Linked DNA regions of Canis lupus familiaris. The protein of the gene in region 2 interacts with the protein of the main gene of each other region in a pairwise test. Links are inferred from orthologs where the notes say so. Each region holds a gene or a part of one and is shown on either strand. Other genes may lie near its edges. The genes, in order: HDAC4, CCDC136, PSMD9, JMY, TCEA2, HMG20B and TXLNA.

Evidence for each region.
Region 1: the proteins of CCDC136 (region 2) and HDAC4 interact in binary tests that used the Homo sapiens proteins (3 or more experiments, as listed by UniProt). The two-hybrid records come from large-scale screens. The link is inferred for Canis lupus familiaris from reciprocal best matches to the Homo sapiens genes CCDC136 and HDAC4.
Region 3: the proteins of CCDC136 (region 2) and PSMD9 interact in binary tests that used the Homo sapiens proteins (3 or more experiments, as listed by UniProt). The two-hybrid records come from large-scale screens. The link is inferred for Canis lupus familiaris from reciprocal best matches to the Homo sapiens genes CCDC136 and PSMD9.
Region 4: the proteins of CCDC136 (region 2) and JMY interact in binary tests that used the Homo sapiens proteins (3 or more experiments, as listed by UniProt). The two-hybrid records come from large-scale screens. The link is inferred for Canis lupus familiaris from reciprocal best matches to the Homo sapiens genes CCDC136 and JMY.
Region 5: the proteins of CCDC136 (region 2) and TCEA2 interact in binary tests that used the Homo sapiens proteins (3 or more experiments, as listed by UniProt). The two-hybrid records come from large-scale screens. The link is inferred for Canis lupus familiaris from reciprocal best matches to the Homo sapiens genes CCDC136 and TCEA2.
Region 6: the proteins of CCDC136 (region 2) and HMG20B interact in binary tests that used the Homo sapiens proteins (3 or more experiments, as listed by UniProt). The two-hybrid records come from large-scale screens. The link is inferred for Canis lupus familiaris from reciprocal best matches to the Homo sapiens genes CCDC136 and HMG20B.
Region 7: the proteins of CCDC136 (region 2) and TXLNA interact in binary tests that used the Homo sapiens proteins (3 or more experiments, as listed by UniProt). The two-hybrid records come from large-scale screens. The link is inferred for Canis lupus familiaris from reciprocal best matches to the Homo sapiens genes CCDC136 and TXLNA.

What each region holds. Positions count from the first base shown.
Region 1 is NC_049246.1:49,640,533-49,644,032, reverse strand, and holds part of HDAC4 (histone deacetylase 4), read left to right. Parts: intron 1-1,914; coding exon 1,915-2,101; intron 2,102-3,157; coding exon 3,158-3,291; intron 3,292-3,500. UniProt on the Homo sapiens protein: Responsible for the deacetylation of lysine residues on the N-terminal part of the core histones (H2A, H2B, H3 and H4).
Region 2 is NC_049235.1:7,695,969-7,699,468, forward strand, and holds part of CCDC136 (coiled-coil domain-containing protein 136), read right to left. Parts: intron 3,295-3,500; coding exon 3,154-3,294; intron 2,816-3,153; coding exon 2,657-2,815; intron 2,379-2,656; coding exon 2,208-2,378; intron 1,783-2,207; coding exon 1,597-1,782; intron 1-1,596. UniProt on the Homo sapiens protein: May play a role in acrosome formation in spermatogenesis and in fertilization.
Region 3 is NC_049247.1:7,627,771-7,631,816, reverse strand, and holds the start of PSMD9 (26S proteasome non-ATPase regulatory subunit 9), read left to right. Parts: upstream 1-1,246; 5' UTR 1,247-1,331; coding exon 1,332-1,469; intron 1,470-4,046. UniProt on the Homo sapiens protein: Acts as a chaperone during the assembly of the 26S proteasome, specifically of the base subcomplex of the PA700/19S regulatory complex (RC).
Region 4 is NC_049224.1:27,670,198-27,673,697, reverse strand, and holds part of JMY (junction-mediating and -regulatory protein), read left to right. Parts: intron 1-605; coding exon 606-701; intron 702-3,106; coding exon 3,107-3,500. UniProt on the Homo sapiens protein: Acts both as a nuclear p53/TP53-cofactor and a cytoplasmic regulator of actin dynamics depending on conditions. In nucleus, acts as a cofactor that increases p53/TP53 response via its interaction with p300/EP300.
Region 5 is NC_049245.1:48,351,186-48,355,313, reverse strand, and holds the start of TCEA2 (transcription elongation factor A protein 2), read right to left. Parts: upstream 2,801-4,128; 5' UTR 2,644-2,800; coding exon 2,572-2,643; intron 186-2,571; coding exon 123-185; intron 1-122. UniProt on the Homo sapiens protein: Necessary for efficient RNA polymerase II transcription elongation past template-encoded arresting sites.
Region 6 is NC_049241.1:56,240,175-56,244,393, forward strand, and holds the start of HMG20B (SWI/SNF-related matrix-associated actin-dependent regulator of chromatin subfamily E member 1-related), read right to left. Parts: upstream 2,801-4,219; 5' UTR 2,743-2,800; intron 2,464-2,742; 5' UTR 2,446-2,463; coding exon 2,408-2,445; intron 2,073-2,407; coding exon 1,964-2,072; intron 1,453-1,963; coding exon 1,249-1,452; intron 714-1,248; coding exon 593-713; intron 291-592; coding exon 244-290; intron 1-243. UniProt on the Homo sapiens protein: Required for correct progression through G2 phase of the cell cycle and entry into mitosis. Required for RCOR1/CoREST mediated repression of neuronal specific gene promoters.
Region 7 is NC_049223.1:68,414,254-68,417,753, reverse strand, and holds part of TXLNA (alpha-taxilin), read left to right. Parts: intron 1-484; coding exon 485-576; intron 577-2,871; coding exon 2,872-3,042; intron 3,043-3,500. UniProt on the Homo sapiens protein: May be involved in intracellular vesicle traffic and potentially in calcium-dependent exocytosis in neuroendocrine cells.

The DNA.
Region 1 (3,500 bases), on a different chromosome or scaffold from region 2:
GGGCCCCCAGGGGCAGTGTCCTGGGGCTGGCAGGCATGGCACCGAGCGGCCTCTTCCCTTCCTACCTGGCCGGACCCGGGTGGGCTGTGACGTCTAGTCCTGGCCCTCGCCCGCCGTGGGCATCTGTGCGCCCGTATTCCAGCCAGACACCCGCCCGCCCGAGTCCCTGCAGATAACGGTCTCAGGCGTGTGCGCCGTGAGTTGACGTAAATGCAGGCGCTACCGAGTGTCAGTAGGACCGGGCGGCGGCGTGAAGGGTAGGAGGAGGCACATCGATGTCTTCATTGATCAGGAAGGCAGGCAGGGCCTTGACGGCCCCGGAGGCCGTGGTGACCGATGTCATAAAAGAGCCGGAAGAACCGTGACACGCGGACCCAGTCCCAGACACTGACACGTGTTAACCAAACTCACAGGTGACGCGTGGATAAATCTGATGACTTATCGATTTATAATGAAGATGAAAACCGCCATGTCCGCGAGAGCCGTGTCCCACGGGCAGCCCGGGAGTCGGAGGCCCCGTGTTGGGGGCCGCAGGGAGGCTGCTTGCTCCTGACGGCACGCGTGGGCGGGGTGCCGCGGGCGGCCGGTGCTTGCCGACTCCTGTTCCTCGCCCGAGCCGCTCCGGCTCTGACGTCTGGGCCTCGTTCCCGCCCGCCGGGCGCCCGCCTCTGCTCCCCCGAGGACCGGAGCGCGGGAGCTCGTGTCGGGGGAAGCGCTGCCGTTGCTGGGTGCGCATGGGGCCCCGGCGGGCCTGGCCGTCCCCGACCGCTGTGGGGCCGCGGCCTCGGCACCGGAGCGCGACCGGGAAGCCTGCGGGGGGAGCGGAGCGTGCGCCCCCCAGCGTTCAGGGCTGGGGTCTCGCGGGTGGTGGAGCGCTCGGCCTTTATTTAGAAAACGATCCTTACCCTGCTCAGACCCAGGACCGTTAGGGACGCTTGTTCTCCGCATCCAGGAATACCAGTGAGCAGAGCGGCCTCGGGGCCCCTGGTGGCTCGTGTGGCAGCTGGCACCAGTCGAGGCCTCCAGCGTTCGGTGACCGGCGTCGGGGGGCAGGGCTCTCGGGGCTCCAGGCGCCTGGAGCCGGGCCCGTGGGGGCGCGGGCACCTGTTGGGTTCTCTCCCTCCCTGCCCCTTCCCGCTGCACCGTGGAGGCGGGGAAGTCAGGCGGGTGGGCAGGGAGGCCCCGTGTCCCTCGGGGGCCGCACGGCCGCTGTGCACCTGCTTCCCTGCAGGGCCTCGCATGTGAGATCCGTCCCTGAAGCCTCGGCCTGGCTCGTGGCCCGGCGCTGGTCTGCATGGGGCAGCGGCTTCGTGGAGGGCGCGCAGGCCTGCGTGGGGCAGTGGCTGTCCCCGCCCGGCGCCCACCTGCCCGGCCGCGCCGGAGCATCCCTTAGTTGCTAAACTGCCTGTTTGGGGTCCTGGCAGTGTCGCGCTCTTACCAAAACCAACTCTTGTCATAGAAACACACATTTTGTGAAAAGGAGTTTTTCGTGAAGTTGAGTCCTTTTTGCCCTGCCGATTTTTGTTGAGGTGGCGGAGGTCCTGGGGACCGTCCACCTGGGTCCCCCTCAGAGAGGCGCGGCCGGCCGACCCCGGGTGGCTGGAACCCGACCAGACGTGTGTTGCTCACTCAGCCAGCGTCTTGCTGCCCTCGGGTGGGGGCGCGGGGGGAGAGGCAGGGACCCAGCCGTGGAGTCCGCGTTCCCACTCCGGGATGTGCTCCCACGCACGTGTCTGGCATGTGGAGCAGCTCCTCCTGGGCGGGGCCGGCCGGGGGCTGCCTGCAGGCGGGGGCTCCGTGGGCTGCCGAGCTCGGGGCTGTGCACCCACGAGAGCCAACGGTCAGGCACGTGGGTTGCTGGACGCGAGCCGCGGTTTCCTGGCAGCACCCAAACCCCGCGTCTCCTCTCCCCAGCAAGCCCTCCTTCTGGAACAGCAGCGGATCCACCAGCTGAGAAACTACCAGGCGTCCATGGAGGCCGCTGGCATCCCCGTGTCCTTTGGCGGCCACCGGCCTCTGTCGCGGGCACAGTCCTCCCCGGCGTCTGCCACCTTCCCCATGTCTGTGCAGGAGCCGCCCACCAAACCGAGGTTCACCACAGGTATGCGCAGGGGCTGGGGGCTGGGGGTCCGGCGCTGAGCACCTGTGGCCCACACCTGGCCTGGGCCTGGCCGGGGAACCAGATGCGTCGGTCACTGAGGCCCCCTTCCCACCTCCCGCTTCTTGATGCCGCCGTCTCCCTTGGCCCAGAGCCCACCTTGCCTTTGCCGGAGAATGTTCCCTCCGGAGACAAGCCGGCGGGCTGGGCGGCTGCCTGTCCGTGGGCCGCAGGGACAGTGAGCTCATCCTTCCTCATCGGCCCTTCGTGTGGGGCCCACACGGCCCGGGGGGCTCAAGGGTCTCAGGCCCCAGGGTGTGAGGCCGGCCCAGCCCCCCAGGGCTCTCGCCTTCGGGGTGGGGCTGTCCTCGCTGCCTCACCCCTGCAGGAGCCTCCCCGTTCCCCCTGCAGCAGAGCCCGGGCTGGGCGACCCTCCCTGGGGGCATCCCCATTGCCCCGGGTCCCTGGTGCTGATCCCCCCCCAGGCCCGCTGTAGTTGGGTTCAGGACTCGGTTACGTCCCTTTGAACACCCTGATGTTGGCCTGTTCGTGCATGTGTCACGCAGGTGTCCCGACTGCCCTGGAAGGTTCTAAGGTTCCAGGGTCTCTCTTGGTTCTGACCCCAGAACCTCGCAGGGGACTCAGATCAGCAGCAGCGCTGCTTCCTGGGTTCCGCTCCCTGACAGGATGGACTTGGATTTGGGGCTAAAGCTCTTAGTTTGGGAAGACAGCACGGCCCTGTGACGCGGGGGCCGCGCAGCTTGGGGAGTGGGGGCGGCGGCTTCCCGGGTCGTTCTCCTTGCCTCGCTCCCCCGGCGGGGACCCCCGGCACCTGCCGTGAGCAGGACACCTGCCTCGGCCTCCATCTCTTGGCCGCCCTTGGTCTCTGGGGAACGTGGATCTGACACATCGTCCTGGTGGACGGGACGCCGTTGGCCGCTGTCTCCCACCAGGACCCGGTGGTGGGCCCCAGCCAGGCAGCGTCCCGGGTGGGTGGTGGGCGGCTGCCGGGAACCCCTGACAGCCCCCCTGACCGTGGCTGGGCCCCCCGTTGTCCAGGCCTCGTGTACGACACCCTGATGCTGAAGCACCAGTGTACCTGCGGGAACACCAACAGCCACCCCGAGCACGCCGGCAGGATCCAGAGCATCTGGTCTCGGCTGCAGGAGACGGGGCTCCGGGGCAAGTGTGAGGTAAGTGGGGCCCAGGCCGGGGGCGGGGGGCTGTGAGCAGTTCCACCAGGGGCATCTGCCCGGGGGACTGCTTTCCCTCACCCAGGTCCTCCCTTTGGGGAAGTTCACCTCTTCCTGTCCCTGCGTCCTCCTGCCCCACTCCGTCTTGTCCCCCATCCTCCATCCTCCTGTCCTTCTGCCCCCTATCCTGCTCCCCTGTCCTGTCCCCC
Region 2 (3,500 bases):
AGCAAGCAGAGCCCTTCTGTGCTCTCCTGCATCTTGTGGTTCACCAGAGGCTCCCTCCCTGTATGGTCCCCTTGGACTGACAGTCCCAAGCCATGCTGCACCCGTGAGGGTTTAGACACCAAATGGGAAACCCCAGCAGGCTGCTCAGGACTGTCCGGTTATGCTGTAAATTTCGTCTTCTGGCCCCTTCTGAGAGCCCTGTGAAGGGAGTGTTAACAACACCCCTCCCTTCTCAGGTCCCCACCTTCCTTTCCTTTGGCCCTTCCCTTTGGTAAAGATCATTCTCCTGCCCTGCTGGGAGTTCTGGTTCCTGTCACTGTTACCAACCCCAGTTGGTTTTATACCTAATTATACTTCTTACCAATAAAAACTCCACCCGATTTGTCCCCATTTTTGTTTTCATTATCATTTTTTTAAATATCTAGAAAAATATGGGCTACTGCTGAATTTGGATTGAAAAGACTAAATTATCCCATGATTCCATGAAACCAAACCTTCTAATATCGAATTCATCTCAATGCTGTTTTAGGACAAGAGGAAAAGCTGGCTCTGTGTCAGCGAGCTGGCTCCCTCTCTGTAGTCTCTTCTACTAGGAGAGGAGAGGGTGAGCAAGTCATAGACACTCTGGCCTCTAGACTGAGTGGGAATGGAAGAAGAAAATGTGAACCTGGGCATAGAGAGGCAGGTGGACCATTGGGGTGGTCCAGATAAGCTCCCCATTCTGGGTCTTCCAAAGGCTTTTCCCTGGGGACACAGCCTGCTGCTGGCTGTGATAGGAGCCACTGAGTATTCCGGCAAAAGGTGACTTGCTCTACCATACTTTGAGAATCTCGTGCCTTTTCTCCATCATGTTTCAACATCTTCCATTTCCTATCAGTGATCAGGAGCTGAAAGTGCTCAACACAAGGTCTAAGGATAACTGATAATGACTTGCATTTTATACACTATGGAAAAAAAGAAAATAAGGAAAGCCTCACTTATCACTACCAGGATTTATTATTAAAAGCAAGTAAGAAGGGAATAGTATTCTGTTCAATTTAAAGAGGGTAAAACTCAAGCTTAGAGAACTTCTCTATTCTGAAGTCACAGAGGAAACCTTAGAAGAGCCTAGGTCCTTCTAATATCCAATCAGCACCCTGGTCTAGTTGCACAAGACCACATCACCTGACAAGAGCATCTGCAATCTGCCTGAGAAAACTGGACCTTCTCTTTCTAGGTCTAATGATAAAAGTTGCACATGTGGGCTTTTCTGTATGTTCTCTGCAAATTACAAGATATCACTATAAGTTCTAATAACAAGGTCTAAGTGTCTACACATATGGAATCACATGCAAAACCCTCAGGTGTTCAGACTGGATGCAGCTGCACTGATCCTATTAGGCCGTGGCTTGGGCTCAAAATCAAGATCAAGGCAAACTGTTTAAAAGTAAATAGCATGGGACTCTTCTTCTGTTTCCTGACTTGCACACCCAGCTGTGACTGGACGGACAGGGAGCTCATCAAGCCCCTTGGTTGGATGACTGCACCTGTTGCCCTTATACCTCCTTTTTCCAGAGGAAGTACCCAGGAGACCTCACCTCTCTTAATTACAATTACCTTATTAGCACATTTCCCTTTGTCTTCTGGGATGGACTGGGTGGTCTTGAGCTCCTTCAGCTCCTGCTGGCAAAGCAGGAGGTCCTGCTCGAGCTGATCATACATGTGCTTCTGCCGCTCCAGCTCTTCCTTGCTGGTCTGGTACAGCCGCTTCATCTCCTGAAGCTGGGCGTGCATCTCTGCGTTCTGGGGTAGGGGAGGCAGGCCCCACCATCATCCCAGAAGCCCTTGCAGCTGCACTCTCTCTTCACAGACAGGGACTAAGGGGTCCTACCTGGTCCTTTCCAGTCCCAATTTCATCCCAATGGGGGCTACCTGAGATGGACCAGACCCTAACAGGCTCGACGCAGGGGCCTTCTGGGGCTTCCCTTTTGGGCAGATGGGGAAGAAAAAGAGAGCTACCTTTTTACTGGCTGATTTTCTGATTTAAAATCAAAGGAAGCTGCGTGCATCATGACTCTGTGAAATCACCTTTCTACTAGGCACCTCTTTATCCCCCATACCAATGGCTATACTACAGAATGCCATGAGTGCCCCCTCCTCTTTGGTACTACTGCTTTCACAGAAGATTCCATCTGGCTATATTCTCCCTCACCTGGAGTTTCTTTTACCTTCTCACTGCTCTCCTGGAAGGAGGCCACGACGTTCTTGAGGCGCTGCACCTCCGCCTCATGGTACTGCAGGTCCCCGCACAGCTGTCGCTGCACTTCTAGCAGCTTATCCTTCTCGCACGTGATGTGCTGGTACTGAAGCTGCAACTTCTGTAGCCGGCACAGTAACTCCTGTGGTGGAGGGGGCTGTGGGCAGTACCTCTGGGGTCCTCAACCCGTTCACTCTTCTGCCTGAGTCACTCTCAGACACGGATGGTCTAAGACCTGACTTCTCCCTGCCCCTTGCTTACCAGTTGTCCTCTCGCCCAGCGCCGTGCTCAAGGGTGGCCGGAGATCCGTACCAGTGGTGCTGCGCATGTGGCAGCTGGACTTATTTTAACTCTGCTCTGATCCACCGTCCCCAAAACCTCTAAGCACCTCAGTTGCCCCTCACCTCCTTTTGTGGTTACCTTCTCGTTTGGGCTTTCTACGACTGTGGGTTTCAAGACTCTGAGCTGCCGGAGCTCAGACTGAAGCTGTAGTTGCACCTTCAAGAGCTCATTCTGCTCATCCTGGCTAGCATCGTACTTTTGCTGCAGGGCACAGAGTCTGGTCTTCAGCTCCTCGTTCTGTGGTGGGAGGACGTAGGTAGAACAGTTACTCTCAAGAGAAACAGCAGACCCCTCTACAGACCAGTTTGGGTCCTTTCCAGACGTAGACATCTTGAAGAGCTCCCACAGGTCTAAGGTTGGGTTTCTTCTCTGAGGCAGACATTCAGGAATGGCTACCATTTCTAGAACACAAAGCTATGTGACTTGTCCAACTGGTCTCCAGTAGACTGTACCCCTGGTCTCAGGGCAAGAATCAGCCAAGCACAGCCTTGCTCTGCGTTCATCCTTCCCTGATGCAGCAGCTTCACGGAGGCCCTTCCGCCCTCCCCATACTCCCTTCCCCCATCAGTGTTTACCTGGGTGACATTGGGAGAGGTCTGAAACCGAAGCACCTCATTCTGTGCACACTTAAGCTCTCTCTGCAGCCGCCTCTGCTCCTCCTCACTGGTCCGACGATGATGCTGTAGTTCTTGCAACTCACAACACAATTCCTTACACTGTGCAGGAGATGGAACAGAAAGGCTGATTGAGGATAGGTGCCACACACACTTCGAAACTAGACTTGGGGAAGAAAAAAAAAAAAAAGAATAGGCTTGGAAAGGATATGGCATTCCTTTTATTGGAATATTTCCATCGAGCAAGCAAACGAGAACCCAGAGTACTATCACCTGCCATAGTGTATGCCTCCTTTGTCAGCCCCGTA
Region 3 (4,046 bases), on a different chromosome or scaffold from region 2:
ATTCTGGGATCATGACCAGAGCAGAAGGGAGATACTTACTTAACCAAATGAGCCACCCAGACGCCCCCAGAGGGCTGTTGAATTGATACACATACGGCATTTAGAACAGTGTCTGGCACATTGTATGAATTTGGTAAGTTATTATCATCACTATTTTTGCCAAAATTTAAAGAGGTCTTAGTACGTAAGAGACATTGAGTAGTAACTCAGTTCTTTATCTTTCCAGCTCCTGGGACAGTGTATGACATATAGGAGACATTCAATAAATAGCTGTTAGCAAAATCACAGCCCTGAGATATCTATCAATATCCAATGATTTTATAGATGAGGAAATAGGCTCAGGGCAGTGAAGGAATTTACCAAGGTCATGTAGGTTGCATTAAGTGGCCAGAACCAGACTTGAACCTGAGCTTGTAGGGTCTGTAAAATGGGGAATAAGGGGAGCATCCGGCTGGCTCAGCCAGTGAAGCATGCAACTCTGGATCTCTGGGGTTGTGTGTTCCAGCCCCATGTTGGGTTTGGAGGTTACTTAAAAATAATAAAATCTTAGGGGGCACCTGGATGGTTCAGTGGTTGAGCGTCTGCCTTTGGCTCAGGGTGTGACCCTGGGGTCATGGGCTCTCCGCAGAGAGCCTACGTCTCCCTCTGCCTGTGTCTCTGCCTCTCTCTGTGTGTCTCTCATGAATAAATAAAACCGGGCAGCCCCGGTGGTGCAGCGGTTTAGCGCCGCCTGCAGCCCAGGGCCTGATCCTGGAGACCCTGGGTCGAGTCCCACATCGGGCTCCCTGCATGGAGCCCACTTCTCCCTCTGCCTGTGTCTCTGCCTCTCTGTGTCTCTATGAATAAATAAATAAAATCTTAAAAAAATAAATAAAATCTTTAAAAAATAAAAAAATAAAATATTTTAAAAATGGGGGATAAGGAATCTGAATGTGTTTCGTTATCTCTCAAGGGCTGGGTAGATTTGAGGAGCTGAACTGGAGCGCCTCGCACAGCGCTTTGGCACAAACATATGGTAGGCGCTCAGTACATGTCTACTGAATGAATGGAAAGCAAATGAGTCACCGAGGGAGAGATCATCCTGTTCTGGCTGGTGACAGACCTGGAACCCATTCCTCCCCAGACTGGTCTTCCCTAGTCCCCAGAACACTTGTCCCGGCGGGGTGTGGCTTCCGGGCGCCCCGCCCCCAGCAGGCCCCTCCCCCAGGTCAGGCTCGCTGACGCTCGAGGAAGTTTGGCCCGCGGGCGGAGCCGTAGCCACAGTCTCTTCCGGCGGCCGCATCCCGGAAGCCGGGGAGCCTGGTGTCCCGCATCCCGCGCCGAGGTCCAGGATGTCGGAGGGGGAAGCCAGGCAGGGCGAAGGCTCCCCGCAGGCCGGCGCGGTGACTGTCAGTGACATCCAGGAGCTCATACGGCGCAAGGAGGAGATCGAGGCGCAGATCAAAGCCAATTATGACGTACTGGAGAGTGTGAGTGGGGGCTCGGGGCTCCTGAGCGGGCGTGGGGGGCAGCCTGGGAGAATGGGGAGGCCGGGGCGGCCTGGGTTTGAGCGCTCAGCGGTGGAGCTCTCGCTCCCTGGGAGGCCCAAAGCGCGGCAACTGCGGCCTCTGTCGGCAGTAGGCGGTAAGCAACTAACGATAGCCCCTGAGAACGACTGGCCTAGTATAGCAAGCGTTCGTGGAGCTCTTACCCGGTGTTGGGCGCTTGGGGGCTGTTTTAATTGCGTTACGTGGTTAGCTCCTTTAACCCTCGCAGCAACTTTTTGAAGTGAGTTCTACTATTCCCCCCATTTTAGGGATGAGGAAACAGAGGCGTTACTTCAACCTGCCTCAGGCCACAGAGCTAATAAATTGTGATAATCACCACCATCGTTGGTGCTTGTTGAATGTGTACCAGAAGATCTGTGCTTTGCTAACTCACTTTACGTCAGAACTTCGTAAACTTTCATTATGTTTGGCAAGCACCTGGAGATCTTGTTAAAGTTCAGTTTCTGATGAGGACGGGGCGCGGAGGTGCAGATCTATTTCTAGCAAATTCCCAGCGATGCTGATGCTACTACTCTAAAGACCGAGCTTTGAGTGACAAGTAAGGGAACTGAGGCCCAGGGTGAGGCAAACCCTTGTCTAGGGTCATGTAACCAGAAGTGGCTGTGGTGGGGCTATTCCCAGGTCTGTCTAGCCCCCAAACTGGTAGTTTTTCTTATGCCAATTAGTGTAGAACCACAAATCAATTTGCAGAGGAAGAATAAATTAAATACATCCTATATAGGGTGAATGGATGCAATGCATTTTAGGTGATGAGAGTAAAATCCAAGCATCAAAAGACTAGGGTATCATGTTGCAGGGTGCTGATTATTATGCCTGAAGGGTGCTGGTTTGTGTGTATGTTATATCATGAAATCCACAACCACCTTGTGAAGTTTGTATGTTACCCAGCTCAGAAAAGAGAAGTCACTTGCTTAGAGTCACAAAATGAGATTCAGATCTCAGGCCCGTTTAATCCAGAACTTGTGTTTTCAAGCATTATGCTAACAATTTTCCAAACTTTACTTTTTACCTCAAGCGGGATGCTATATCCATAATATCTCCTGTACTACTATTCCCTTGGTATTTTTCTTTATATTGATTCACTTTTTTACTTAAATATGTTTGTCTTAAGTGAAAATTTTGTAACTTTACAGCATATGAGAAAGGGATTTTTTCCCCTCCCTTTAGCATAAGGTAAAAATGCATACCAAGGTGATATGTTTGTTCCTTTTTACTAGCTACAGTTATAGGCTGAAAGCTTTTAAGCCTGAAGCCCTCCTCTGTGATTGTTTTTTTAAAAAGGAGGGAGGAGCTAAAACCATAAATCTTATAGAATAAAGCATAGGAGTAAATTTTTGTGATCTTGGGTCAGGTAAAACCTCCTTAGATGTGATGCCAAAATCACAAGCAATGAAAGAAAAAGTAGATAAAATTTATCAGAATTTAAAACGTGTATCTCAAAAGACATATGTCATATGTCATCAGAGAAATGCCAATTAAAACAGCCATGAGGTACTACTACACATGTGTCTAAGTGGCCAGTATTCATCACAGTTCAACTCCGGATGCTGTTGAGGATGTGGGGGAACTCTTGATTCAGAGCTGCAAGTTTCTTGCAAAGCTAAACATTCTCTTACCATACCATCCAGCAGTTGTGCTCCATGGTATTTACCCAAAGGAGTTTAAAACATGTCTACGCAAAAATCCTCATGATGTTTCCAGCAGCTTATTTCGTAATTGCCAAGACTTGAAGCAACCAAGATGTCTTTAACTAGGTGGATAGGTAAATAAAATGAACCTCTAAACAGTAGACTATATTACTCACTGCTAAAAATAAATGGGCTAGTGAGCAATGAAAAGACCTGGAGGAACCCCAAATGCTTATAAGTAACTGAAAGAAGCCAGTCTGAGAAGACTGCATCTGTAGGGTTTCAACCAGAATCTGGAAGGGGCAAAACTGTGGAGACATTAAAAAGATCAGTGGTTGCAGGGATCCAAAGTGATGGAAGGGATGAATAGATGGAGCACAGAGGATTTGTAGGGCAGTGTAGGTATCCCATATAGGATTGTAATGATGGGTACATGTCATTATACATTTGTTCAAACCTGTAGAATATAAAACTAAGAGTGAAGTCTAAGGTAAACTATGGGCTTCAATAGGAAATGGTAGGTATAACCCAGTGGCTTCCAGAAAGAAAGGGAGAGAAGTGAATGGAATCCCTCATCCCAGTACATATATTCCCTGGGCAGCTTTCCTCTATGCTGACTAATAATTCAGCCATGATTTATTACTTTTACATGTATTAATTTCCTGGAGCCCCCATAACAAATTACTACAAACTGGGTGACCAGAGTGATGGAAATTCATTCTCTCACAGTTGTGAAGGCCACAAGTCTGAAATCTAAGCTGTCGGCAGGGTTGGTTTCTCCTGGGGGATCTGAGGGAGAATCTGTTCAGTGCCTCTGTCTTATTTTCTGGTGGTCACTGGCCATCCCTGGCTTTGGTGGTCTAACTCCTCT
Region 4 (3,500 bases), on a different chromosome or scaffold from region 2:
CTGTTATAAGTTAAGAATTTGTTTCTTGGTTACTCTCTCTTCCGTTCTCTTGTCTTTTCCTTTCCCCATTTGTTTCTTAAATTGCACTTTTGAGTGAAATCATATGATATTTGTCTTTCTCTGGTTTATTTCAAATGCTCCCCCCCCCCCCCCCGCCCCCAACTGCTGATTATATTGGTTGAACTAATGTGCAGTATCTGAATCCAGGCCAGGTTGTTGCTGATTTTATTTTTATTATGTTCAACTTTTTTATTTAGTAAAATATAGCAGCTATAAGTATTTTATACTTAAATTGTTTAAGTCAGAAACCCAAAGATGAAACATTTTTAGTTCAGTGATAATTGATTTTACTTGTCAGAATAAACATCTTTAATTGTAGGTAAATGCAAAAAACGAAACAGTATTGTTTTTCTCCTATCATTGTGAATTTTAAAACTATGATTTCTATTAAAAACTGGTAGTTTCATGCCATTAAAACACTTTGTTAAGCAAAGTGAATCATTCTTTGGAGTTAACCCATTTTACTTATTGGGGGAACTTTTTTCCCCAATTAAGAAAAATAAATGGGACACATCATAATGGAATTACTATTAATTTTTTACCAGAAGAGAGAAAAATTACACGATGAAGAAGAAAGAAAAAGTGCTTGGGTTAGCCAGGAGAGACAAAGAACACTGGATAGACTTCGAAATTTTAAACAGGTAACATAAAAGTATGATCAATTTATTGTTTTTCATTGCTTTTTAAATAGCTACATATACACACACTCCTATTGTAAGATTTTAAGAAAAACTTTGTTTTTTCCTCTATTATTTAGAAAATATAATTCTTGGGGGAATGGGTTAATGGGCAATAAGTAGGGCACTTGATGTAATAATAAGCATGGTGAGTTATATACAACTGATGAAACACAGTTCTACCCCCAAAATAATAATACACTATTTGTTAATGAAATTGAATTTAAATAAAACCAAAAAGAAAATTATTTTAGGGGTACCTGGGTGACTCAATTGGTTAAGTGTCTGACTCCTGATTTTGTCTCATGTTATCTCAGGGTTGAGATTGGGCCCTGCATCTGGCTCTGCTCTTGGCAGTCTACACTAGAATCTCTCCTCCTCCTCCTCCTCTCTCTCTCTTTCTTATACACACAAATAAAGTCTTAAAATAATTTGCCTTTTGTTTTAATGTTTGATTAAAAGGCTACCTTTCTTCCACTTGTGGATTTTTTGTTTCTGTTTTTGTTTTTTATTTTTTAAAATTTATTATTTTTTTGTTTTTGTTTTTTAAATATTTATCATTTATTGGGAGAAAGAGTGGGGGCAGGAGCAGAAGAGGGAGAGAAAGAATCTTTTTTTTAAGATTTTATTTATTTATTCATGATAGACATAGAGAAAGAGGCAGAGACTCAGGCAGAGGGAGAAGCAGGCTCCATACCGGGAGCCCGACATGGGACTTGATCCTGGGACTCCAGGCGCTAAACTGCTGAGCTACCCAGGGATTCCCAGAGAGAGAGAATCTTAAGCCGACTCTGTGCACTGAGCATGGAGTCTGACTCTGGGCTCAGTTTCACAACCCTAAGATCACGACCTGAGCCGAAACCAAGAGTTAGTCGTTTAATTGACTGCACCATGCAGGCATCTCATACCTATAATCCATTTGTGTACAGCATTAATATTTTCATGCCATTGGTCTACCACTTCAGTAGCATAAAAGTAATGGTCAGGGCTTCTGGCAAGCCTGGATTCTTCTTGAGTTTTATAAAATTCACAATTGACTATCCATTTCAGGTATCACCTTGTTATTAATACCACGTATAATAACCTATAATAACAGTCTACGGAAGTGACCCTGGCATAATTAAAGTAGATCAACTTATATGAGAAAGGGTCTGGCAGTTGTCTTGCCAGGCTAACCCATGGCCCTGGATTAATGCTAGATTTTACTATAGTAAAAGATAGATTGAGAGTTCTGTATATCATTATTCAAAAAAAAAATCTTCCTCCCTTTCCATCATAAAAATGTACATATTGTTTCAAGAGTTTTTATTTTTAAAGATTCATTCATTCATTCATTCATTCATTCATTCATTTATTTATTTATTTATGGTAGACACACAGAGAGAGAGAGGCAGAGACACGGGGTGGGGGGGGGCGGGGAGCAGGCTCCATGCCGGGAGCCCGACACGGGACTCGATCCCGGGACTCCAGGGTCGCGCCCTGGGCCAAAGGCAGGTGCCAAACTGCCGAGCCACCCAGGGATCCCCTCAAGAGGTTTTTAAATGCCACAAGATGGTTTTTAAAAAGAACATTAATTTTTAATTTTTTTATTTGTAAGTATTTGAAAATACATGTAAGAAACTAACAGTTTCATAGCTTTCTGTATACCAATAGCATTTATGTTTCATATCTTACATTGCTATTATTTTTCATTTAAATTAATAATTTCAGGGGCACCTCGGTGGCTCATTTGGTTAAGCGTCTGCCTCCGGTTCAGGTCATGATCCTGAGGTCCAGGGATTGAGCCCCACGGTAGACTCCCTGCTCAGTGAGGAGTCTGTTTCTCCCTCTGCCATTCCCCCTGGTTGTGCTCTCTGGTTCAATCTGTCGAATACATAAAGTCTTAAAAAAAATAATAATTCATTCTTTAAATGAATTTAAAGTTCTTTAAAGATCTTTAATCTTTAAATCCCGTGGTAATTTTGAACAATTGGTTTCTTAAGTGGATAAAAGGGGACAGGATTTAATAAGCAAAAGAGTTCAGTGATAATTGTCAAAAGGTATTATGCTTTGGTATTCTAGTCATCTGTATAACTTTATTAAAGAACCTTCTCCGAAAATCACAAAAGCTTCAGAATAACATCTTTCATCTAAAGGAGGAAATAAAATGTTCATAAAATGTTTTAATGTAATCTGACCAGTTATAATACCTTATTGTGAGACTTTAGGACTGTGTTAGCCAAGGACACTAAAAACAAAATGGATCATAAAATGTGGACTGAAGGTTTCCCAGGAACACATGGGATCCCAGTTATGCTTGTTTGAAAAATGTTTGCTCATAAAATATTTTAATGTAATCTGACCAGTTATAATACCTTCTGATTTTTTAGAGATACCCTGGCCAAGTCATACTTAAATCAACCAGATTGCGACTGGCTCATGCAAGAAGAAGAAGCACAGCCAGTCCTGTGCCCTGTGAGGAGCAGTGTGACTCTCTGCCAGGGGCGCTACAGGTAGAAGATAAAAGTGAAAAGGTGGAGGAAGGAAGAGGCAAGCTTGAGTCATCACAGAAAACAGAAGCCCAAAGCCTCGCACAACTTGAAGATACTTCATTAGCACAACTTGAAGCCACTTCATTACCTCTCAGTGGTGTTACCTCTGAACTGCCACCCACTGTTTCTCTTCCACTTTTGAATAATATTGACCTCGAACCAGGTTCTGTTACCATAGCTCCACTTCCCCCACCTCTTCCTCCAACACCGCCTCCACCACCACCACCACCAC
Region 5 (4,128 bases), on a different chromosome or scaffold from region 2:
GGGGGAGCCATGCTCAGATGCCCCCCGTCTTCCGGGACAACCAGGGCGGGGGCCTCCTCCAGGACGCACAGGCCCTGCCAGGCGCCAGGAGCCGTCCGGGCAGGAGGCGCGCAGGGCCCTACCTGAAGCAGGTGCAGCGTGACCGGCATGGCCTTCAGCTCCCGCAGCAGGTCCATGGCTCCCTCCTGGAAGGAGAAGGGGGACCTTCATAAAGGACTTCGAGGTCTCGGGGTGCACTGCCACCTCCTCCTAGCCACGAAGGCGGGGGGGCACCGGAAGTAACAGATTGGAGACCCACCCGGGGTCAGCTGCGCGGGGACGGCCAGCAGCTCTGCAAACTCAGCGCCAGCGCCTGGTCACTGACCAAACCACGGCTGCAGCAAACAGCTCCAAGGCCGGCAGCCCCGCCCGCGGGAGGACAGCACCCAGGTCGGGGGGGGGGGGGGGGGGGAGGCAGGGGTGCTCACTGCCCGCTCCAGGCCCAGACCCCTCGTGGGTTGCTCAGCCCCTCCTGAAGTACCTCATCACAGGCTGACGGGAGCCAACCTGGGCAAGGTCAGCGACCCCGACTGAGGCCAAACACCTCCCCCATCACATGCACACCCACCCACACCCAGATTGAAGTCCCAGCAATCTCTCCAGGCCAGCCACCTCCCCCACCTTGCCCCTGCCCACCCAACACCTGTTTCTTTAGAGCCCTCCCCACATCAAGGTCCTGCACAAACTGGCTGCTCTCTCCACTCCGGGCTCAGCTTTAGGTTCCTCAACTGTGCCAAGCTGCTTGCCCCAGGACCCTTGCACCTGCTGCTCCCACTGCCAGAGAAATGCCTCCCAAATATCTACAGTTCCGTACCCTCCCTCTTCCCAAATTTTATTCAGATGACACCTTGTTGACGCCCCTCCTGACCCCATCCTCCCCCACTTTGCTTTCTCCCACAGATGCTTCACTTGTTAACATACTGGTGTGTTTTAACGTATTGCTCTTTCCTTTGACATGAGAGAGCAGGAATCATGTGGCTCGGCTATCCGAGGTGGTGGGACCCTCGTGCCAGGCAGCCCAGGCCGCATCCCCTGCCATCTGCATGGCGCCTCTGCTCTGCAGCCCCGTCCACATCCCCCCCCCCCCACCCAGGAACATGCAGAGTCCAGCCCTACGGTGACCTCCTCAGGTGGGGGGGGCGTCCGAGCCAAGGTCACGGCGCTGCTCACTGATGAGCTTCCTGTGGCTCCAGACCAGAGGCACAAACCCAGCTCCCGACTTCCCCATCACCGGTCCCCAGGCCTCCGGGAGCCTCACGGGCACCAGGCACCTTCCTGGCCCGTGGGGCTGTCAACTCCCACGCCTCGGTCTCCACAGTGCTTCCACCTGGCCCCACCCAGCCCTCTGCGGGTTCCGTGACCCATCTCTGTCCCCACCTGGGGGGTGTTGTCTCCTTCAAGACAGGAAGCAGCTTCTTTCTTTGGTCATCTCTGCAAACAGCTAGACTGTCCCCCACTCCCTAGCTCCGCGCAGCCCAGGGCCTCCCAGGGACACGATGCCCGTGTGGGGAGGGGGCTGCTGCTCGCTGGATGAGTGGATGAGTGGGAGCCGGCCCCGTTTCTGGCCCCAGTGTAGGCCCCTGTCCAAAACCTGGTCAACAAGGACCCCAGGACAAGTCGGCTTAACACAAAAGAGTGCCCAAAGCGGCAGAGCAAGCGGTCGGTCTGGGGTGGCTGCGCGTGACGGAGCCGCCTCCTCCACCCTGCTACTCGCTCACAGTCCCGGGGAAGAGCGGGGTGTGTGTGTGGAGCCTCTCGGGGAGCCAGCCAGGGCCCCCCAGCACCCTGAAGGCAGGTCCCGCCCACCAAGGATGCTTCCACGGGAGGGCACGCAGGCTGTCAGGGAGGGTCTCGGAGCTCAAGATGGGCTGAAGTTGGAACCCCAACCCCCACCCCGCAGCACTGCCTCCTCCAGCCTCCGCGGCGGGGGCCCCAGCCCGCGGGGCCAGGGGCTCCATCACCAGGCCTGCCGGGTGCCCAGGCCTCCCAGGCCTCTATCCCTAGGGTCTCTGACATCTCCCCCCTCCCCAGCTGCTGCTGGCTGGGTCCCGGCTAGGGAAGGGAAAGAATTTATTAGGGAGACCTGGTTCCTGTGGGGGTGCAGATGGGGCACAGGGGCCTCTGCAGCAGGACAGGCCTCGGGCCTGCACACGGAGGGGGCGGGGGGCGGGCTGCAGGCCGCGGGGCGGGCGGGGCGGGCGGGGCGGGCGGGGCTCTGCGGAGAAGGCCCGGGCGGGGGCGGGGGCGGGGGCGGGGGCGGGGCCGGGAGGGCGGGGCGGGGCGGGGCACGGAGGCGGGTGTCAGGTGCGCGGGGTCCGGGTCCCGCGGGGCGGCCCCGACACGACCCCGGCCCGACCCGACCCCACGGCGGCCTCCGCGGTGCGGGCGCGGGGGAGAGCCGGGGGGCCCAGGGCAGGGTCTCCGCCGGGGCGGGGCCTCGTCCTGCCGCTCGGGGTCGCCCGGCCCGAAGCGGGCGGGGGTCGGCGGGGCGGGGCCCGGGGTCCCGGGGTCCCGGCGGCCCGCGCCCCTCACCGCACTCTTCTTGGTCACCATCTTGTCCAGCCTGCGGGCGATCCGCGCGATCTCCTCCTCCTTGCCCATCATCGCCTCGGGGGCAGGGCCCCCAGCGCCCGCCGCGCCAGCCTCGGCCTCCGGGCCCGGACCCCTGCCCCGCTCGTCGTCGTCGTCCGCACCCGTCGCAGCCGACGCAGCCCCGCCGCGGGCGGGAGACCCTCCGTTCAAACCCCCGGCCCCCGCGGTCGCCGCGCTGCTCCCTGGGACATGTAGTTCCCGCGGCCGGCAGCCTCGCGCGCTCGCCCCGCGCTGGACCACAAGCCCCGGAAGACACGCGGCTTCGCGTGGCTTTCTGGGATGTGTAGTCCCGCCGCGGGCCGCCGCAGGAGGCCGACGAGGACGGCCGACTCGCAGTCCCACAAGGCCCCGCGCGAGCCGGTGAGCCGGCGGAGGGCGCTGCGGAGCGCGGGGCCAGCGGGCGTCCCTCCCGGACCCTCCGCCCGAGCGGCCCGTGGGTCGGCTCCGTGGGGCCCGCGAAGGCGCGTCCGGGTCCGGCCGTCCCCTTCTCCGCCCTCTTGGAGTCCTTCTCCCACCTAGCGCTGTGCTGTCCCGGGGCAGCCGGGCCCCGCGGGAGACCCCGCACCCCACCCGCGCGCGCCCCCACCCCCACACGCCCAACCCCACCCCCGCGCACCCCCCGCCCGCGCCGCCAGCCGCACGCACCCCACCCCGCGCACCCCCACCTCCACCCCGCGCACCTCCCACCCGCACCCCCACCCCGCGCACCCCCACCTCCACCCCTCGCGCACCCCCCCACGCCCACCTCCACCCCCGCGCGCCCGCAGCCCCCACCCCCGCACTCCCACCCCTTGTGCCCTCTGGCCCACATGCCCCCCCCCAGAGGGGAGGGGGCTGCAGCCGGATGCAGGGTCTGGAAGAGGCCAGGGCCGGTTCCGGTTCCGAAGGTGCCAGAGGAGCCGCAGACGCCCCCGGGGCAGCTGCCGGGCATGAATCCCGCGCTCTGCACTTCAAACCGACCGCAGACCGTTGTGCCTCAGTCTCCCCATCTGTGAAAGGAAGGTGGTGGTGTCGTCCGCTCAGGGGGCTGCTGCCCCGACGGCAGGTGGTGAAGAGCGGAGAACGGGGCACGAGCACGTCAGTGGTCACCTCGGCTGCTGGAGCTCCTGTGAATGCCCGCTGCGCCCACGTGAGGGTGGCCTGGCTGCGGGGACAGCAGAGGAGCGTCCCCTCCAGACCTCGCCCCCTTCGAGGTGTCCCCGTGTGCCCTACAGCGGGGCGGGGCGCGGTACAAGGCAGGAGACGGATGTCTGTGTCCTGGGCCCACGGCCACTGACATGCGGGCAGGTGTGAGACCGGGCGGCAGAGAGGAGGACCAGACACCTGGGCTGCCAGGCTGCACCACACGGGAGCACGTGCAGACTGGCCAGTGGGGAGCAGAGCCTCCAGCTCGTACCCCTGGATCCTTCCCGTCGGCCTCCAGTGGAAGCATGTGGTTCCTCGGGCTGCGAATGAAGCAACGACCCACGTCTCGCGGCAGTACCAGGACTGAGCACA
Region 6 (4,219 bases), on a different chromosome or scaffold from region 2:
ATGGGGGGGTGGGGCAGCTACAACCCCTCTGGGACGTCCCTCAAGCTTGAGAGGGATTCCTCTGGCCGTCTGCATCGACGTCCTTTTAACAACATTCCCACCATGTGGCTGCCCCACGTCGGCTGGCACACTTGGAGGCCCGGCACTGCTTCCTCCCGTGAGAGCTGGCTCTGGCTCACCCAGGGTCTAAAGACCTCCAGACCTTTCTCACCCAGGCATGGTCCTAGGAGGAGGGGTACTTACCTTGTGTCCATTCAAGAGCGTATTCATGAGCCCAGAGCCCGAGTCCTCTGGTGGGGGAGGGAGGAGGGCAGGATCAGCCTGGCAGGGGCCCACACATTGCTTTGCAATGCAAGTGCTGTCCCCCCTGCCTGGGACCCCCCCCCCAGGTTAGCCCTACTTGTCCTGGGGCAGGCTCCTGTGAGGACCCCCAGTGTCTGTGTGCCCCCGCGTTGGCACTGCTCAGCCCTGTCCACCCACAGCTGTCTCGTCTTCATGGGACTGAGTCCCATGGAGGAGGGCAGGTCGGTCTGCCTGGGTCACCTGTCTCAGAGCCCGCACCCAGCTGCCTGGGGGCTGGGGCCCTTCCCACCTTTCTTGATCTTCTTTTCCTGGATCTTCTCCGTGCACATCTTGTAGGCTTCCGACTGCTGGTAGGCGCGCAGCTCCTTCATGTACTGCTGCTTCTCCCGCTCGGCCTCATCCAGGTACCGCTGGTGGGGGCAGAGGAAGGCTTGTCCCAGCCCAGGGGCAGGGGCGGCCGGCCTCCAAGGCCAACACCGCACCTTCCCACAGCTCCCTCCTTGGAGGTGAACCCGGCTCCTCGGCCTGCTGTGCGGGGCACCTTCCTCCCCCAAACTCTTGCCTTTAAAAGCCTCTCCCAGTTGTCTGAGGGCAGGCTCCCATCTCCAGGCTGGGCTGGGCTCCCACACCCATTTTGCTTGGTGAAATCCCACTTAGAGGGTGCAAACTGGTGGTGTGTTTTGTTTCCTATATTTTTGCAACTTTAATTAGCAGGATTTGAAAACCAAGAGCTATCACATAAAAATCCGGCCCCCACTCCTACTTCTTTAGACCTCTCCGTGTTGGTTATCAAGCTTTCCGTGGATTCCTGCTTATTGCGACCCTCCCCTCCTTCCGCCTGCTGGGGAGGGCTCAAGGGTGGTCAGTGCTCCCCGCGGAAGCCCTTTGGGGGATGTGGCCGCAGGGCAGTGTCCGAGTGGGCGGGGCAAGGTCAGTGGTCCCCACCTGCTTCTCCGCCGGCTGCAGCTTGCTCCACTCGGCACCCAGCATCTTGGTGATCTCGGGAAAGGGCAGATCCGGGTGGCGCGTGCGAATCTGCTCGCGCCGCTCGTTCAGGAAGCGCACGTAGCCGGTGACCGGTGCCTTGGGCCCATTTGGCAGGATCTTCTTCCGCTTCTTGCCCTTGGGCCAGCCGCGCTTCTTCACGGGCTGCAGAACAGTACCCACTCCGCGCCGTTGGGAGGGGCCTGGAGGGTTGGGGCGGGGCTAGAGGGCTGGGCGGGGCCTATCCTGGAAACCTGCAGGTATGGCTTGATCAAGGGCCAGAACTGGGAGAGGGCGGGTTTCGGGGAACGCCGGCCGCGCGGGTGACGGATCGGAGGTCCCGGGCGATCCCGGGCGCGGGGCATAAGGAGCCGGGTTGGGCCCAGCGACGGCGAGTGGGCGTGGCACCTGGCGTGGGCGTGGCTTCTCGCCGGAGGAAAGCCCCGCGGGACGACGGGAAGGTGCCTCCCACCGGACATTTGGCGGTGGGCGGGGCCTGGGCTCCGAGGCCGCGGACCTCCGGGGGCGTGGCACGCGGCACGGGGCGGGGCCTCAGCTTCGGGAGGAAAATCAGGACTGCGGGCGGGGCCGCAGCTAATTCAAATCCAGCCCGGGGTGGAGCTTCCAGGCGAGGGGCGAGCCCCAGGGCTGCCCCCACCACGGCGCAGGGACTCACCTCCTCCTCGTGGGACCCCTTCTCGCCGGCCCGGGGGCCCTCGCCGCGCTCCTGCTTGACGGCCACCACGAAGCCCCCGTGCGGTCCCGGAGCCTTGCCGCCCGCCGGCCTGGAGCCACGGGACGCCAGGGTCACCGCCGCCCTCACGTCCATCCCGACCGCGGAGCTGGCACAGAGGGGCCTGGGGCCCGGGGCCCGGGAGCAGGGCTCTGCGGGGGTCACTATCCGCGGGCCGGGACGGAAGCACGGGGGTGGGGGGCGGGAGAGACCCCCGGGAGGAACCGGGGCGGGGAGCTGGGGGCGTGCGGGGAGGTCCTGCCCGGCAGTGGGGGGAGTCAAGACCCGGGGGCGAGGGGCGAGGGGCGAGGGGCGACGAGCTCCGACAGGGAGGGCGGGGGCGGGGCTGCAGACCCGAGTGGGCTGGGGGAGGGGAGTCGCACTCACGCGGCGGCCGCGCCGGGCTGCTTGGAGCCGTGGGACATGGCCGCTCCCGGCCCCACCTGGAAGGCAGACGCGTGGCCGGGTGAGCGGCGCCCGAGCCGCCGACGGGCCGGGCCGGCGGGGGATCCCGGAATGCCGGGCCCGGGGTGTTTGGGGGGGCCGGATCCAGGGGCGGGGAGGCCCTCGAGGGCGGGCGCCCCAGGGATCCTTTGTTGGGCGATCGCCCCCCGGGAGGGCCGGGCCCACTCTCCCCCGGTCCGGGAGGGGCCCCTCCCCGGTCCCGGGACCCCCGCGCCCCCGCCCCCTCGCAGGGCCCCGAGTTCCGCGGCTGTTTTCACCTCCAAAGAAACTTTCCCGGACCTCTCGGCTGCTGCGACGCTCCAACCAACCGCCCCGAGCCCGCCCCTGCCGCTCGCCCCGCCCCCGGCATGCTAATGCGGCCTCCGCGAGCCGTCCGATTGGGTGCAGGCTTTCCCTGGGGCGTGGCCATGCAGATGAGGGTTGGCGCGCCGGCCGGCGATTGGCTGGGGCAGCCGCTGGGCCGCGTGGGAGGTGGACGGGGAAGGCCGCGGGCGGGTGCGTCAAGTTCGGCTGCGCTCGGCCGCTCTCGGGGCCAATCGGGGCGCCTTGGGGCCGCGCCGGGCGGAGCCCCTTAAAGGGCCAGTAGGGGCGGCGCGGACTCCTCCTCTCCCGGCCAAGGCGAGACTCCCCGCCCCAGCGGGATCCCGGGACCTGCCGGGCGAGATCGCGCCCCTCCCTGGTTGCCATGGAGACGGCGGCCGGTTGCTAGGGAAGGGGGTTAAGGTCCTTCCCCGCGGCGTGGCGGTCTCCCCCACCCCCCGCCCCAGGACGAGGTGGGACCTGTCTTCGTATCTCGCAAACCCGGCGGGGAAGTTACCCGCTAGTCCCTGAAGTTAGGGCCCCGGCGTCCCGCTGTGCCCAGCCCCGCAGTGCGCGGGCGGGGGCTGCTCTTCCCCCGGAGGCTCCGCTTTCCCTCCCGTGCAATGGGGACCTTGCACGATGTGCAGGACCAGGAGGCTGGGATGCCCGAAGCTGAGGCCCGGGGCTGGGACCCCGTGGAGATGGAGGGGCAGGAGGCTCTGCTCTGGGATCTGGGGGAGCCCCAGGCGGCAGCGTGGTCCTGTGGCCTGGGCTGGGACTTCCCCGACTCCCAGGATGACAGCTGCGGCCGCTGGATGCTCACGATGTCCCGTTAGTCCCCAAACAACTCTCCCACATCACCGCCCTGCCCTCCTCTGCCTTCTCCACCTCCTGATGCCCCTCACATACAAATAGGTCCCTTTCTCTCACTCCCGCCTCCAGGCTTTTGCACCTGGTGTGCCCTTTCCTCCAGATTATCCGCCTGGCTCATGGCTTGATCTCCTTCAGGTCTTTGCTGAAATGTCAGCTTCTCAATGAGGTTTCCCCCATACACCTTATTTGTTCCCCATGTGTTTGTTTCCTCTGCTACATAACAGTTTTGTTTTCAGTTTTATTTAAGTAAGCTCTACCCCCAACGTGGGCCCACCCAGAAATCAAGAGTCACATGCTCTATGACTGAGCCGGCCAGGCGCCCCCCAAAGAACAAAATTTTAACAGAATAAATTTGAAAATCTAAGTGGCTTTGTTGAGGGATTCATGGGTGGAGCAGTATCCCATCTAGCAAGTAGAAGGGGGCTCCAAAGAGGTGAACAAAATGGAAGGTTAGGGACGGCTGGGCTGCTCAGTTGTTGGTTCAGGTCATGACCCTGGGTTCCTGGGATCGAATCCGAATCCCGCATTGGGCTCCCTGCATGGAGCCTGCTTCTCCCTCTG
Region 7 (3,500 bases), on a different chromosome or scaffold from region 2:
TTCACTCTTTGGCTACCACTGTTGACAAATGTTTAGTAGTTACCGAGGAAACCTATTCCTTTTTGCCTCCTTCCTCTTTCGAAAGGGCTTTCCTTGCATTGACACAGTAGCACTTAAATTGGCCATTGGGATGTCTTTTTTTTTCCTCCTGCTATTAGAGCAGGCAGGTTTTTTCTCCCACTCTCAGTGTTCACCATGGAGTCTCCACATAGACTCAGTTATTAGTCTATTAAGCATTTGTTGAGCATGTCGTCTGAGATGGGCACCAAAGACAATATGGAGCAGCACTGGGGCCACAGTAATAGGCTGAGTTCAGTTGGTGGTAACCCTCATGAACCACACGGTCTAATGGGATGACAGCCAGGTCAACAAACAGTATCAAATATGATAATGTAGGGCTGCCTCAAGGCCTGAGAGTGTGGGCCGAGGCCTGGGGAAATCCCCAGAGAAGGGGGTACATGATTTTGATCCCTGTGCTTTGCAGGGAAGGAGATCACGTTGCTGATGCAGACATTGAACACCCTGAGCACCCCAGAGGAGAAGCTGGCAGCTCTGTGCAAGAAGTATGCTGAACTGGTCAGTTCTCCCCCTTCTTCTTGCATCCGCCCTGCCTTGGAAAGTCAGCAGGCCACCTGGCATGGGGTTGAGGGTGCCGGGGCAGGTGGGTGGCTTAATTCCTATTCAGCCTCTCTCAGCCTTTTCTCCATCTGTTAAGTGGAGAGTCAAGTCCCAGCTGGCCCCTTCCATGTTGACTGTAAGAAGAAACCCTTCATATTACAGTGGTAAAACCATAGCTCCTGGCCCCAGTCCCACATACCATGTCATCTCACACCTGTGTGCCTCAGTGTGCATCTCCCCAAAAAATGCACAGTGCCATCCTCACATTTAAACTAACACTGATGTGATACTCTAATACGCATATTTCCCCATTTGTTTAAAATGTCAGTTTGATCAAATCAGGGTCTACAGGAGATCCATCTAATACTTTAGGTCCTTACAACTTTTTTTCCTTTTATTCCAAAATAGTCTTCATTTACTGCCAACCTTTTTCTCATGACATTGATTTACTGCAGATCAATCGCCCTGTGCCTCACTTCTTCGCTTTTGTGGTGACATTTAACTTCTTCCTTTACCTCCTTAGTTCCTGTAGATATAGGGGAAATTAACTCTAGAAGCTTGATCCAATCCAAGTTCAACTATTTTGATAAGAACTCTACATAAGTGGTACTCTGTAGAGAAAGTGTGTTCCTCCCACTTTTACTGATGGAAGATTGTCCACTGAGTTCAGGTGGGGCCAGCCAGGTTCCTCCCTTGTCAGGTTGCCATCAGAATTTGTATAAATGGATTAATCCACTGTGGGTCATTTCCTAACTACTTGTTTTTAAGTTCTTTCACTCCATTTTCATTTATTAGCTAGAATTCTCTAAGAAGTTTTTCTCATTTGTAAAATTGGGAAAAATCACACCTGCCTTGTGGGGTTGCTATAATGATTAAATAAAGGATAGGATATGAAAAAGATACCACCCCTTCAGAATGAGCCATCCAGGGAAAGATTGATGAAGAGAGCAGGAGCTGAGTGATGTTCTCAAGTAGAGAAGGAGCTAAGGGCCAGAGCATAAGGAGAAGGCTGGCTGTGTTGGGAAGCACCACTGGATCCTGGTAACCAGAGGAAAAGGCCGGTGCAGGTGGATGGGCAGAGGTGGAACTTATGCCCCTGTGCCTCTGGTTGCTTCCATTCTCAGGGAAATGAGAAAGATATTTTTTGCTGGGCCAAAGGAGAGCTGAGAAGGAGGAGGATGAAATAGTTCTCTGGAAGAGGAGTGTGACTAACATAAGGAATATGGTTAGGCCGCATGGCAGACGAGGGTCTTCCTCAAATGGGTAGTTAGGAATTAAAAGAGGTTCTTCTGCTTCAGTGCCTGTGCAGAGGAATCAGAGGTTGGGATATCAGGGTTGGGGTTTTGATAGGAAAAGGGGGCAAGAGAGTTGAGTGTAAGAAGTCTTAAGACAAGTATAAGAAGGTCAGTGATTATTTAAAGACACATTCAAGGAAAGTGAAAGGATAGTTGGGTCACTGGGTTGGAGGTCCAGTATGGTAGACTTTCTGGGGCCACAAATTTTGGATGGAATGAGCTAGAATGGTAGGGGATAGTGGTCCTGCCCTGGGATGAGATAATGGAGGGGTGTGTGCTTCTGGGTAATGACAAAATCTGGATCTGATGTCCAGGACAGTAACCATTAGCCAACTGAAATGTGGCTAGTCTAGATTTGGATGTGCTCTAAGTGTAAGATACAACTTAGGTTTCAAACACCTAAGGAAAGGGGAAGAAAAAATAATGTTCAATGACTTGAACAGTTGTCATTACATAGAGTTGCACTGTATCAGCGTTGACTAGGCTCATGGGAGGGTAGCTGATGTGGGGAAAAGACAGGGTCTGAGAAGGTTAAGATCTGTCCATAATGAAAAGGCCAAAATGATAACAGCAGTCATGTTGAGTGAAGTGGCGCTAAGTTTCAGAGCAGTGAAGAGGGAGTGACGGGGGTCTATTGAATACAAGGAGGAGTGGTAAGGGGTGTCATCTGAGGACATGAGTGTCACAAAGGTTGAAGGAATGTAATGGTCTGAGAGTCTTGAGAACTTCATCTCTAGAGTTAGAGTGGGGAGAGGCTGGGGTCTGCAGCCTCTGAATCCCTGCTTGTCGTAAGTGCCTGTTTCTGTATACTGGAGATGGAGCCCTTGGGTTTATCGGAGAAGTACATTAAGCACCCACACAGTGTCCAGCCAGAACTGTTAACAACTGGAGTCGGGAGAGGGCCGGGGTCCCTTGGGAAAAGCCCGACTAGGCACTTACTTGCCTTCCTGCTCCACAGCTGGAGGAGCATCGGAACTCCCAGAAGCAGATGAAGCTGCTGCAGAAGAAACAGAGCCAGCTGGTGCAGGAGAAGGACCACCTGCGTGGGGAGCACAGCAAGGCTGTCCTGGCCCGCAGTAAGCTAGAAAGCCTGTGCCGGGAGCTCCAACGCCACAACCGCTCCCTCAAGGTGGGCTGGCCCCTACGACTCTGGTTCCCTTGACTTCCACTTTTCCTTGGTGGGCTTTCCCCTTAAAAAGTAGCACGGAGGGATCCCTGGGTGGTGCAGCAGTTTAGCGCCTGCCTTTGGCCCAGGGCGTGATCCTGGAGACCCGGGATCAAATCCCACGTTGGGCTCCTAGTGCATGGAGCCTGCTTCTCCCTCTGCCTGTGTCTTTGCCTCTCTCTCTTTCTTTCTCTGCCTATCATAAATAAATAAATGAATGAATGAATGAATGAATGAATGAATGAATGAATAAATAAATAAATAAATAAATAAATAAATAAATAAAATCTTTAAAAAAAAAAAAAGGTAGCATGGGATTTTGGCAGAGAAATTGATTTCCCCAGTAACGCCCTGCCTTAGGGATAGCTGCCTGTAACCACTTGACCTGTCCCTGTGTCAGGTATGGTGAGGGAGCCCAGGAG